Linked DNA regions of Danio rerio. Each later gene encodes a partner of the first gene's protein in a complex. Links are inferred from orthologs where the notes say so. Each region holds a gene or a part of one and is shown on either strand. Other genes may lie near its edges.

Region 1 (4,173 bases):
TGTGAAAAATATGGAAGTTTTATAGAACTGTATAAATGTACGAAATATAACCATGAACTAATACAGTGTTTAGTTTACAAAATCATAGCTTAGTGCACAAAAATGTAAAGTCTTTAAATGCAATAATGTGTTCACGTGTGATTGCAACTAGCAAACAGATTTTGACTGCATTAGTAACTACACAGTCACCTTTAAACAAAAGAAGATGCAGCATAACATTAAATACTCTTTAGTTCATCTTGGACTTGAACACAGACGCTACTAACCTCCACAATGGTGACACAAAAACCGTTTTGCTGTTTTTTTTCTTCCTTTTTTGATTTTACGGAAAAATACCAGCCGCTGTGGTTGCCAGTAATCTGCTGTTTTCAACATTTTACATTCATGAATTCAGTTTACAAAATATTTCTGTTAAAAACACATTCCACAGTCTGTATTTTTCATCGAACACCATGGTTAAACAATACAGGGTCATGTCAGAAGTTGTCAATGAACAAATGGGCGAATATAAAACCGACTTTACCTTTTATCCACTGTTTACCAGGCATGCGTTCATACACTGTAAAGTTGCTATTAAATTTGCACATTCGTTTACTGACAACTAGTGACATGCTCCCTATATTGTTTAACATGGTAATAGAATGGAGTATTCAGTGTGAAATTGCACGTATGAATTTAAATCAAAATTAGCATTTCACCATTTAGAATTTGCACAAAATACTTTTCTAAAATTATATTATTAAGGAGAAAGTCTGAATGTGGGGATATAAAACCAACTTTACCTCAACCGTATACAGAATCTTCTGAACATACAGAAGATATAAAAAACTGCCTTCTTTCATCTCCGCAATATTGCACGGATCAGACCATTTCTCTGATGCAGAGAGGCTTATCCATGCCTTCATCACATCACGTCTTGATTTTTGTACTTTGTACTGACTTTTTGGGGGTTTACCTGCAAGTTCTCTCAGAAGACTACAATATATACAAAATTCCGCTGCACGGGTTCTAACACACACATCATCACGCCACCACATTATTCCTGTGCTACAACAATTACACTGGCTTCCTGTAAAATCACGGTTTGATTTTAACTTTTAAAGCAGTGCATGGGTTAGCACCCAGTTACATCTGCAACCTGTTGACCCTCGCCACCGGAGCCTGCAGTCTTCGTTCTGCAGACTTACATTGCATCAGCCACGGTGTAAACTCAAGACCATGGGTGGGAGGGCTTTTTACCGTATACAGAATCTTCTGAACATACAGAAGATATAAAAAACTGCCTTCTTTCATCTCCGCAATATTGCACGGATCAGACCATTTCTCTGATGCAGAGAGGCTTATCCATGCCTTCATCACATCACGTCTTGATTTTTGTACTTTGTACTGACTTTTTGGGGGTTTACCTGCAAGTTCTCTCAGAAGACTACAATATATACAAAATTCCGCTGCACGGGTTCTAACACACACATCATCACGCCACCACATTATTCCTGTGCTACAACAATTACACTGGCTTCCTGTAAAATCACGGTTTGATTTTAACTTTTAAAGCAGTGCATGGGTTAGCACCCAGTTACATCTGCAACCTGTTGACCCTCGCCACCGGAGCCTGCAGTCTTCGTTCTGCAGACTTACATTGCATCAGCCACGGTGTAAACTCAAGACCATGGGTGGGAGGGCTTTTTCACACAGTGCACCTAAGCTTTGGAATGTACTCTCCATCAGCATTAGAAATGCTGCCTCTGGACTGTTTTAAGAAACTTCTTAAGACTCACCTTTTTAGCATAGCTTTTAACTTAGGATGATCATTTTGTTTAACTTTTTATTTCTATTTTATGCTTCATATTTTTATTGTTTTATTGTATCTTTTATTGTTGTGCTGTTTTGTTTGCCTTGTGTATTAGTGTTTTGCCTGTAGCGCTTTAAGTATAAAGCGCATTACAAATCAAATGTATTATTTTATATATTATTCTATATTATGCAACAGGCAACTATCAATGTTTTGATATTAATATATGGATTTGTGAGCTTTTAGTTTATCTGACTTACTGTATACATGCATATCAGACACAGTTAATAACATGACTTGCGTAAATTACAAGCAACACGATTTCACAAAAGTTAATAACTGAAATAACGTACAGTAAAAGCTATAATAGATGTGAAGTTGGTTTTATAATTATATTCGGATATTCAGACATTCTCCTTAAATGTCATTAAAGTATTTGCAAATTCTAAATAGGAAAATCATAAAAGCAGCCAGTGACTAGCAAAGTACAACATTGTCCACAATCAATTAGATAATGTTAAATGTTGTTTTGAAGACATACTTGCAAGCTAATTTCGATCGAATATTCAACGTAACATGGTAAACAATATACAGACTGCTAAATGAACGAATGTGCGAATATAAAACCAACTTTACCTCTATAAAGCTATACAATAATCGCACTAGTTGTAGTTATTATTGACTAGTCTATAGGACATCAAAACGACGAAAAATAATAAAATAACAGTGTCTACGTGACATTAGTCTGATGATAAAATACTGTTGATGAAATCAGATGAAGTCGATGATATGATCTGTTGATCGATCATCATCCGCTATATGTACGTTACCTGAGATTCTGACGGACAAACAGCCGCTCGTGCTCCTCTCTTTGACGTCTTTAACCCACAGTGGCATAAACAGCACTTTCATTGCCTTACAAACATGTCTGAAATGCTAGGATTGATCAAAATAGCGCCGGTGTGTGTAAATCCAGAAATCAACAAACGTCACTGTCTTCCGCGTTTCGTCATTCACTGGCGACCACGAAGAGATGTCTGCATTGCGTCACACACGCGCGCGCACGAGCTGTTTGTTGGTACTGTACGGTAGATAGTGCTGATTTAATCATTTTGATGTGATTAGGTTTGTATTGTGAAATAAAGCACTAGGTTTGCGATGCAATTTAAAGATATGGATGTTTTAACGAGTTCTGTAGTCTACATAAAAAAAACGAGCAGTGGTGGAAAGATTGTTGAAAAATCATACTCAAGTAAAAGTACCATTACTTGCCCAAAATGTAGTGCAAGTAGAGAAAAAGTATGTAAATATTGCTCAAAAAAATGTAGAAAAATCATACTCAAGTAAAAATACTATTACTTGCCCAAAATGTAGTGCAAGTAGAGTAAAAGTATGTAAATATTACTCAAAAAAAAAAAGTAAAAAATAGCCCTTTCAGGCCCGTAGCCAGTCTGGTGAAAGGGGTGGTTCTTTTTTTCTCAAAAAGTGGATTTTTTTTGCACTTATACACCTCAGTTTCTATTTAACTATGAGATTTAAATACTACATTTTAGTCATATATATATATATATATATATATATATATATATATATATATATATATATATATATATATATATATATATATATATATAAAATTTTTTTTTTTTTTTTTGCTGGATTAGCTAGTCAGATGTTATCATAATCACACTTTTTGATGTACTGAAAATATTTCCTGAAAAAATGCAATAAAGAAAAATTAAAACAAGACTATTTTTAAATACAAATTTATTACATCATTTATCATTAGGAAAAAATAGCAATCTGTTAAAGTTTTAAAGTAAAAAAAAGTAGCCCACTATCATTTATTAGACAAAAAACAAACTGGCCAGCACATTCAACTGTCCTCAGTCACAATTTGGCCATTTTAATAAAAATTATAATTAAAACATAATAATAATAATAAAACGATAATAATGAATTCTTTAGAAATTTTCTAGCCTCTTTGGTAAAAAAAAAAAAAAAAGTATAAAAATTCCTGAATATCAACAACACCCAGATAGCATACAAATGTAGGCCCCTTTAGGCAGTTATGTTGCACTGTTGGTCTTTTTTCGGGCCAGACAAAATAAACGTGAGCCTGAAGTGGTCCACCTGTACAATGACAAAAGGTGGCCAAGATTCCAATTAATATAAGGACCATTTAAGGCAAAGATTTGGCACTTATGGCAAAATGTAATCTGAATGTGAACCTAATGTGGCCCATGTGGAAAATGGTCAATTTGGCCCAAATGATAGAGGACAAATGTGGGCCACATTTGGCAAAAATTTGGCATAGTCATTAGAGGGTAATCTGGGTCTAAACTCAAAGTGGCTCACATGTGTAGGTGCAAATGTGGGCC
Region 2 (4,220 bases), on another chromosome or scaffold:
TACAAACAGTGCACACAAAAAATAAATAATTAAATATATATATATATATATATATATATATATATATATATATATATATATATATATATATATGTGTGTGTGTGTGTGTGTGTGTGTGTGTGTGTGTGTGTAAGTGTGTGTGTGTGAGTGTGTGTGTGTGTATGTATATATATGTATGTATGTATGTATGTGTGTGTGTGTGTGTGTGTGTGTGTGTGTGTGTGTGTGTGTGTGTGTGTGTGTGTGTGTGTGTGTGTGTGTGTGTGTGTGTGTGTGTGTGTGTGTGTGTATCAGGCCCGGATTGGCTAATCGGGAGGACCGGGAGAATTCCCGGTGGGCCGGTGCGTTTTTTGGCCGCGAGGGCCGGTGTCCCTAGCTCTAGAATCTGTTGCTCTCAGCAGTCACACTTTTTAAATTAATTTATTTACTTACTTGACTACAGTCTTCTTATTCATCATTTTACCGCAGCTCTGCTCTTTTTATATATGACCAGCCTGCAGGTTAATGACGATATTAGTCAGATGAGTCAGTCCTTCATATACAACTGTTGTGGTCCAGTGGTTAGCACGTTAGATTATGACGCTAACTTTCAGTAACTCGCAGCGACATATATAATATATATATATTTATATATATATAAATAATTTTTTTTGTCAATATTTAATTTACTATTAATCTCACTTAATGACAACGGTGAGCACACTGTTTGCAGCACAAGACTATTCTTGGTTTAATTTTGGGGATCGTCCTCTATGTGTAGTCGTGGCCTTTATTTTTTATGTACACGCGTGCCGTAAAGGTGTCAGAGTTTAACATTGTGCCATTAATCTAGTGTAATAACCCCAGGGGTTGGAATCCAATGGGAAAAGAATTGAAAGGCTGATGGCTTTTTATTTGCATGCTGTTATTTTATTTAACTATTAAATACCATGTTTATCTTCTGTAAGTTATGGATAAAATATGGCTATTCTAATAGTTTAATAACATATATTAAAGAGAAATCACCAAGCAACCCACCCTCATTGTCTCACAAACCCCAATTTGGGAACCACATAGCTATACTACTAGTAGCCTACATAAATGTTTATGTGAAGTATGCTTAAGATATATCAATATTAACTAACTATACTTAATAAAAAGGAACGTGAAGTATACTTCTTTTTAGTAAGGTTAGGCTACTTATTACCCATGTGGAAACCAAGTTAAAGTCTACTTTATTTTTGTTATGTAGGCTAGTTTTTTTTTTTTTTTACTTTTTTAATTGGGGTAAGTTAATAATAATAGACATCTGCCTAGTATTTGTCGATCTAAACATATAGTACATAAACTCAATAGTTTAGTATATGCGTCAAGTACATTACTAATCTACTACATGTTTCTGAACGCACACGGAAGATAGAACAGAAGTCACGTGACCCGCGCGTCAAAGAAATCAGCTGAGGGCTCGGAGTTTCACTCAGGAAATCCAGGTAAACCGAACAACCAAAGTACATATTAAAGTAAACGATGCGTATTTATAAACTGTACATGTGTGCAGACTTTACGTAAATAGTTGTTGAGGGTAGTTTAAAAGAGAAGTCAGTAAAGTAGCAAGCGCAAAGTTCATTCACTGAAGCATATTTGTTGACAGCGCGATTTGTGTTCACTTGACATGAAACTACACTGTAAGATTCCCGAATGTTAATGTTTGTTGTGTGTCAGCAAAGTTAAAACAATAGCTGTCTAGTTTTATAAATGAAAATGCGTGTTTGTGAGTTTGTGAGCCGTGATTTCCGCATTCTTTCGTTTTGCAGGTGCAGCGCAGATCGGTTTTACTAGTCATCTGTTTAGTACTAGCCTGCTAACCAATAAACAACATTACGCCAGCTATTTTCGAGTAATTATTGAGCTAATAAGGCATATTTCAAAGCAAGGTGAGCAACTATATGGGGCAAGTTTTCTCGTTAATTCAAAATGACAACAGTAATATCATTAAGGGAGATTCTAAAACGCATGAAATAAGCTTAATAATTGAGGTTAAGTTGATTTTATACTATAGACTTTATCCTTAATAATATAATTTTGGCTAAGAACTGCACATTCTGATTAGGGACATCATATTAGCATCTAATGACTTTCAAAGTACACGCTGCTCTCAGTCAATTAAATAATGCTAATGTTTAGGTCATACTTACATGTGATTTCAGACTTCATATATAAAGTAGCATGGTAAACAATATAGGGAGTGTATCACAAGTTGTCACTGAAAGAATGTGCGAATATAAAACCAACTTTGCCTCAATAGCTTAATATACCTAAACATCAACCAGAGAAGCCCACATTTCGATCAAACTTTACTTGTAATTAACCCGAACTACTGTTAAGACAGAGTCCCAATTCCATAAGTGAAAAATATCACGCTAAGCGTTTTCTCCACTATTGAAGTCTATTATAAGTAAAAGCTTAATGTGGCTTAATGTACCTCAACAACAAGTGGGGGGAACCAAATTTCTATCAAATTTTACTTGTGGTTAGCACTAACTATATAGCAAAAAAATTAAAAATTTGCCCCATTTCCACAGCTTAAGTGAACAGCGTTTTTCCCTATGTTGTTGTGGGGATGTCAATGACATGCACAAGTGCATTCTTTTGACAGCAAAGGGTTAATCTATAATAAATTAAGTTAGATTTTTTGAACAGCTTTTTTATAATTTGGTTTCCCTCTGTTTTTAAGTCAAGCTTTCCTTATTAAGGACTTCAACGGGGAAGAAAACACTTAACGTGATATTGTTAACTTTATCTGTGGAATTAAGGCCCATTCTTTTAAAAATAGTTTGTCTTAATCACAAGTAAAGAAATTTGGGTTTCCCTGGTCTGGGTTAAGATATGTTAAGCCACGTTAAGCTGATTCCTTATAATGCGCTTCTGTGAGGAGAATGCTGAAAGTGATATTGCTCACTTGATACACTAAAATAAAAGCTTGTTCTTTTACAGCAGTAAGTGTTTTTCATGAATATATATCTATAGAAATTTGATTGTCTCTAGATGTTAAGTTAAACCACATTAAGCTGTTATAATGGACTGAAATGGGGATAAAATGCTTAACAACATTGTCCGCTTTATCTACAGACTAAGGGCTTGATCTTTTGATAGTAGTTAGTGTTAATCACAAGTATTCGATAGATTTTTGGTGTACCCCACTTGTTGAGGTATACATTAAGCCATGTTAAGCGTTTTCCTTTTATAATGGACTCAGTGGGGAGAATTGCATACCGTGATAATTTTTACCCACTAAAATAAGAGCTCATTCTTTTGACATCAGAAAGTGTTTGTAACTTTTATAGAAATTTGGTTTCTCCCACTTGCTGTTAAGGTACATTAAGCCACGTTAAGCTTTATCCTTATAATAGACTCCAATGGGGGAGTAAACGCCTAACATGATGTTTTTCAATTTATCTGCTTAATTGGGACTCATTCTTTTTACAGTAATTAGGGTTAATTACAAGTACAGTTTGACAGAAATTTGGGGTTTTCTGGTTGATGTTTAGTTACATTAAGCCCCGCTTTCTTCATGTTAAGCATTTTTGAATGTCCCCATTAATATAATTAAGAAACGCATACAAAATAGTGAGCAATTGTTTTGGTCTCCAAATAGTACAGTACGTTTTAAGGGTAACTTAAAGTTGGTTTATATTCACACATTCAGACTTTCTCCTTAATATAATTTCAGAAAACTATTCTTTACTAATACTAAATAGTCAAATCATATTCCCAGCAAATGACAATTAAAGTACAGCATTGTTCATGGTCAATTAAATAGTGCTAATGTTGTTTTGGAGGCATATGATTCAGACCGAATATTTAAAGTAGTAAACAATATAGGAAACATGTCACAAGTTGTCCCTAAATGAATGTGGGAATATTAAACATTAATAAGTATGTATAGTTTGTGTAAAACATGTTTACAACTCGTGAAAGTCTGTCACTACTTGACATTTATTAAAAACGTCGCAAATCCAGCATTTCAGTTCATACATGTTAATATACAAACTATTCTGTAGCATGTAGGATCAAATATAATGATAGTTGAATGTTATTGAAGGAAGAAATTGATAAGCCATATGTAAAAACACGTTCAAATAGTATGTTTTAGGAGCAATGTATATAAGAAAACATGTTTATGAATAAATTGTATAAGCTTGTTATTATGTAGCGCAGTATAAGAGATAATTGTGCGATTG
Region 3 (4,280 bases), on another chromosome or scaffold:
CTTTGAAATATGTAAAATAATCGATGAGCTTACGCGCTTCTTTGATGATGTACAACCAAATTATGATAAAACGTTATAATATATGTATATATTTGAAATAATACATGTATATATTTTATGTTTGAGTGAAACTAAACTATTCAAAATAGCATTGTCGCTCGTGATTAGACAGTTTCATGCCAGTTTTTCCCTTAATAAACGATTACCATTTATTTAATTAAATAATTATATTTTAAATTAGTTAAATATAAAAACTAAAAGAAATATAAATGTAATTGTTTAAAATTATGAATATGCTTTGATATCTGTGCAACTAACAAAAGACAATTTATGAGTTATCTGTTTATGCATAAAATAAACAAAAAAAATAATTAAAATTAAGCTTTAACTATTATATTACGAGTTACATCAAAAATTCTTCGATTTTTATTTATTATAACCTAATAATATAATTTATTAATGTAACCTTTATTATAATGTTATTATAACCTTATTCATTATGTAATTTATAAATGTAACCTTTTGCATTATTATTAGGCAAAACGTTACCTTTAGGTAAAAGATTTTAAAATTATGCAATTCAATGCATATATACTGTAAACCTAATTTATTATTATTATTTTTTTAGCAGTATAAGTAAAACAAAACACTAAATTTAATGATGAATTAATGATAAAATGTAATGTCAAACTGCTTTGTATATTGTTTACATTGTAAAAAGGGCTAAAGAATTAAAGATAAACTAAATTAACTGAAATGTACTTCATAATTTTTTCTTTATTTTTCAAGAAACCCTTAGTGTTACTGTATATTTTAGTTCTTTTTTTTAAATTCCTTCTACAGTGCGGAGCACCAATTGGCCACAAATTGTCATAATGTTGGCCCGCAAAGGTCTTTTGCCTGATGGGTTCTTGTTAACGCGACTCGCTGAAGATGCACAACCCAGCCGCATCCGGCCAAAGTCACAAAGGGCACGTTTTATCACCAAGAGCGGCTCATGTAATGTAGCCCACAAGAATATTCGAGAACAGGTGAGATTTTCCTATCAGTTCTAGGCTAAAGAAAAGTTTCAATTGACTCAGTTGCAGTGTTCATAAGAGATTATTGCTTCTCAGGGTCGGTTTCTCCAAGATGTGTTCACCACCATGGTGGACCTGAAATGGCAGCATTCTTTGCTCATCTTCACCTCAGCGTTCCTCTGCTCCTGGATGCTCTTTGCCATGGTGTGGTGGCTCCTGGCATTCGCTCATGGAGATCTAGAACCTCGAGATCCCAATGAACCCGGACCTGTGCCGTGCGTCACATCCATTCACTCCTTCACTTCTGCTTTTCTGTTCTCCATTGAAGTGCAGGTAAGGATCAATCTGGATAGATATGACTCTGTTTCCATCTAGAATTATTATGACATGCATTTTCAGTAATCTAAATATTTTAGACTCCGCATACATTTTTATTTAATGTCATCCACTTGTGATTGGACTGACTGAAACGTAATACTAGTTGTCAAAACTGAGGGAGAATAAACAATGTAATATTTTTGGTAAACTATACCTTAACAGCGCTGAACAGGATGTGAAGTAGAAGTTGACGTCAATCTTCTGTGGAGGCGGGGCTTATCCACTCTATTACATCATAGAGTAGAACATTCAAGAATCTGTTATCTTCAGACTGCCTTCAATATAATCTGTATTTAGAGGAACCACAAAGTGTTCAGTTCTAAAACTTACAGGATATTTTTAGAGAACTATGAGCTCTTATATGTAAAAAAAAAAAAATTAGGTGATTTTTAGGTTTCACAGTTCATGACCCCTTTAAATCGTCTGTAAGATAATGAAGCATTTGTAATACCAGGTAACTATTGGTTTCGGAGGACGAATGGTGACAGAGGAGTGTCCGCTGGCCATCATAGTCCTCATCATCCAGAACATTCTGGGCCTGATCATCAACGCCATCATGCTTGGCTGTGTGTTCATGAAGACAGCTCAAGCCAACCGCAGAGCAGAAACCCTCATCTTCTCCCGCAACGCAGTCATTGCCCCAAGGAATGGCAGACCGACATTGATGTTTCGTGTTGGAGATCTGAGAAAAAGCATGATCATCTCTGCCAACATACAGCTGCAGGTGACAGATGTGTTTATTTCTTTACTGATGTATTTAAATCATTGAAGAACCTTAACATCCACAGAACCTTCTATTAGAGAGTTCTTCATTTTAGTCCTTTAGATCAGTGTTTCTCAACCACGTTTCTTTGAGGACCACACGCTTTGCACATTTTCCATGTCTCCTTAACCAAACACACCTGATTCAGACCGTCAGCTCATTAGCAGAGACTGAAAGACCTGTAATTGGTTTGACGGACAAAGGAGACATCCAAAACATGCAGTGTTGGTGGTCCTCCAGGAACGTGGTTGAGAAACACTGCTATAGATCTTTAATATGTCCTTCAAACTAAGGTTATTTAATCATTATTTTATCACCAGGTTCAGACAACATAAAAGCAAGGCATTTGATGTCAAAATGATGGCAGATATGTAGCTTTAAAGATAGTATAAATTCTGCCTTAAAGGGACAGTTCACCTTAAAATTAAAATTCTGCCATTACTTGGCAGAATGGAAATCTATTCAGGCATCTTGAATGCAAGAATTTAGAAATTCGACATGGAGAGTGATTTTCATACACATTGATTATCATAACAAACACAAATTATGTGAAGTGTGAGCCAAAAATGCTTTATATATCATGTCTGTACCAGATATTCTTGAGTTTGATTCCATCCTGATCTTGATATTTGCTCCTCAGGTTATTCGGCGGACAGTGACAGCGGAGGGCGAAGTGATTCCCGTCTGTCAGTTAGATATCCAGGTGGAAAACCCTCTCAGGAGCAACGGCATATTCCTCGTCTCTCCACTCATTATCAGTCACACCATTGACAGAGGGAGTCCACTGTACGAGCTCTCAGCGCAGTCAATGGCTACCGAAGATCTGGAGATCATTGTCATTTTAGAAGGTGAATAGAGTCTACTTTCCAGTACTGGGTTGTGGCTAGAAGAGCATCTGCTGCATAAATCATATGGTGGAATAGTTGGCGGTTTATTTCCCTGTGGTGACCCTTGATAAATAAGAGACTAAGCCGAAGGAGAATGAATGTTTGATTGAATAGAGTCTGCTTAATGTAATTGTTTTGTTTAAAAGCCAAAGTATTTTTAAGGGATTATCATAGATAAGCTCTCTAATATGTGACCCTAGAGTACAAAACCAATCATAAGTGTCAATTTTGGGAAATTGAGATTTATACATGATCTGAAAGCTGAATAAATACATTTGTCATTGATGCTGAGATGCAACTATTTCAAAATCTGGAATCCGAGGGTTTAAAAATATCTAAATATTGGGAAAGCTGCCTTTAAAGTTGTCTAAATTAAGTTATTAACAAAGCAGGCCTGTAGCCAGGGGAGGGTTTCAGGTGGTTCAGAAGACCCACCCCTCATTGACAAAGGCCCATAACTACTATGTCATAATAAGTTGTGAAAATAATCCATGGAAAAAGGCTTTAACACCATGTGGAATCCTGTGTTGGTTGTTGCGTCAGCATGACTGAGGAAAGTTGAATGTGCGGGACGGTTTGCTTTTTATGTTAATGATATTTAAATAACAATAGGCTAAAGTTTTTAATTTAAAACTTTAACAAATTCCTATTTTTTCTAATGATGCAATTGATGTATATGATGTAAATGATAATTGATGTAAACCTTAACATCAAAAATGTGGTTATGATGACCATCAAACAAGCTAATCCAGCAAAAAAATAGTGCTTAAAATGTTACAAAAATGCAACTTATTTTAACCTCATAATTACATAGAAAAAAATTAGGCGAATAAATGCAAAATGGTCAACTTTTTAAGAAAAAAGATCCACACCCTTCACCAGGCTGGCTACAGGCCTGTAATGCATATTACTAATTGAAAATTAAGTTCTGACATAGTAGACTCTTATTAAGAGTATTGTCTTAATCTTATTAATGTCGGACTATTGGTGTCCCTGTTAACATACTCTACTTCTAATGCCTTATCTGTCATAATTTTAGGCTTTCTAGAATATTTTACTATGAAATTTTCACCGTATTAATGCCACTTATTTTGGAATTACCTGCAAGACATTTTTATTATTGATAATAATGATTACACAATGCTTTAAAACATGTTTACCTATTTTCTCAGTGTTTGCTGAAGAATGTAAAAAATTACCTTAAGTAGGACTGCACGATATTAGAAAAATCTA

Evidence for each region. The genes of interacting proteins can lie anywhere in the genome.
Region 2: sybl1 (region 1) and stx7l share a complex: the UniProt entries of both Homo sapiens proteins name them as parts of the SNARE complex. The link is inferred for Danio rerio from reciprocal best matches to the Homo sapiens genes VAMP7 and STX7.
Region 3: sybl1 (region 1) and bet1l share a complex: the UniProt entries of both Homo sapiens proteins name them as parts of the SNARE complex. The link is inferred for Danio rerio from reciprocal best matches to the Homo sapiens genes VAMP7 and BET1L.

Annotation. Positions count from the first base shown.
Region 1 is NC_133189.1:9,609,540-9,613,712, forward strand, and holds the start of sybl1 (vesicle-associated membrane protein 7), read right to left. Parts: upstream 2,801-4,173; 5' UTR 2,623-2,800; intron 1-2,622. UniProt on the Homo sapiens protein: Involved in the targeting and/or fusion of transport vesicles to their target membrane during transport of proteins from the early endosome to the lysosome. Required for heterotypic fusion of late endosomes with lysosomes and homotypic lysosomal fusion.
Region 2 is NC_133195.1:49,559,274-49,563,493, forward strand, and holds the start of stx7l (syntaxin-7), read left to right. Parts: upstream 1-1,420; 5' UTR 1,421-1,469; intron 1,470-4,220. UniProt on the Homo sapiens protein: May be involved in protein trafficking from the plasma membrane to the early endosome (EE) as well as in homotypic fusion of endocytic organelles. Mediates the endocytic trafficking from early endosomes to late endosomes and lysosomes.
Region 3 is NC_133200.1:8,372,459-8,376,738, forward strand, and holds the start of bet1l (BET1-like protein), read right to left. Parts: upstream 2,801-4,280; 5' UTR 2,751-2,800; intron 2,122-2,750; coding exon of another isoform or gene 1,852-2,121; 5' UTR 1,849-1,851; intron 1,685-1,848; exon of another isoform or gene 1,623-1,684; 5' UTR 1,552-1,622; intron 1,391-1,551; 5' UTR 1,353-1,390; coding exon of another isoform or gene 1,116-1,352; intron 1,032-1,115; coding exon of another isoform or gene 876-1,031; exon of another isoform or gene 844-875; intron 1-843. Other genes in the region: kcnj11l (potassium inwardly rectifying channel subfamily J member 11, like), read left to right, coding at 876-1,031, 1,116-1,352, 1,852-2,121, 2,801-3,008. UniProt on the Homo sapiens protein: Vesicle SNARE required for targeting and fusion of retrograde transport vesicles with the Golgi complex. Required for the integrity of the Golgi complex.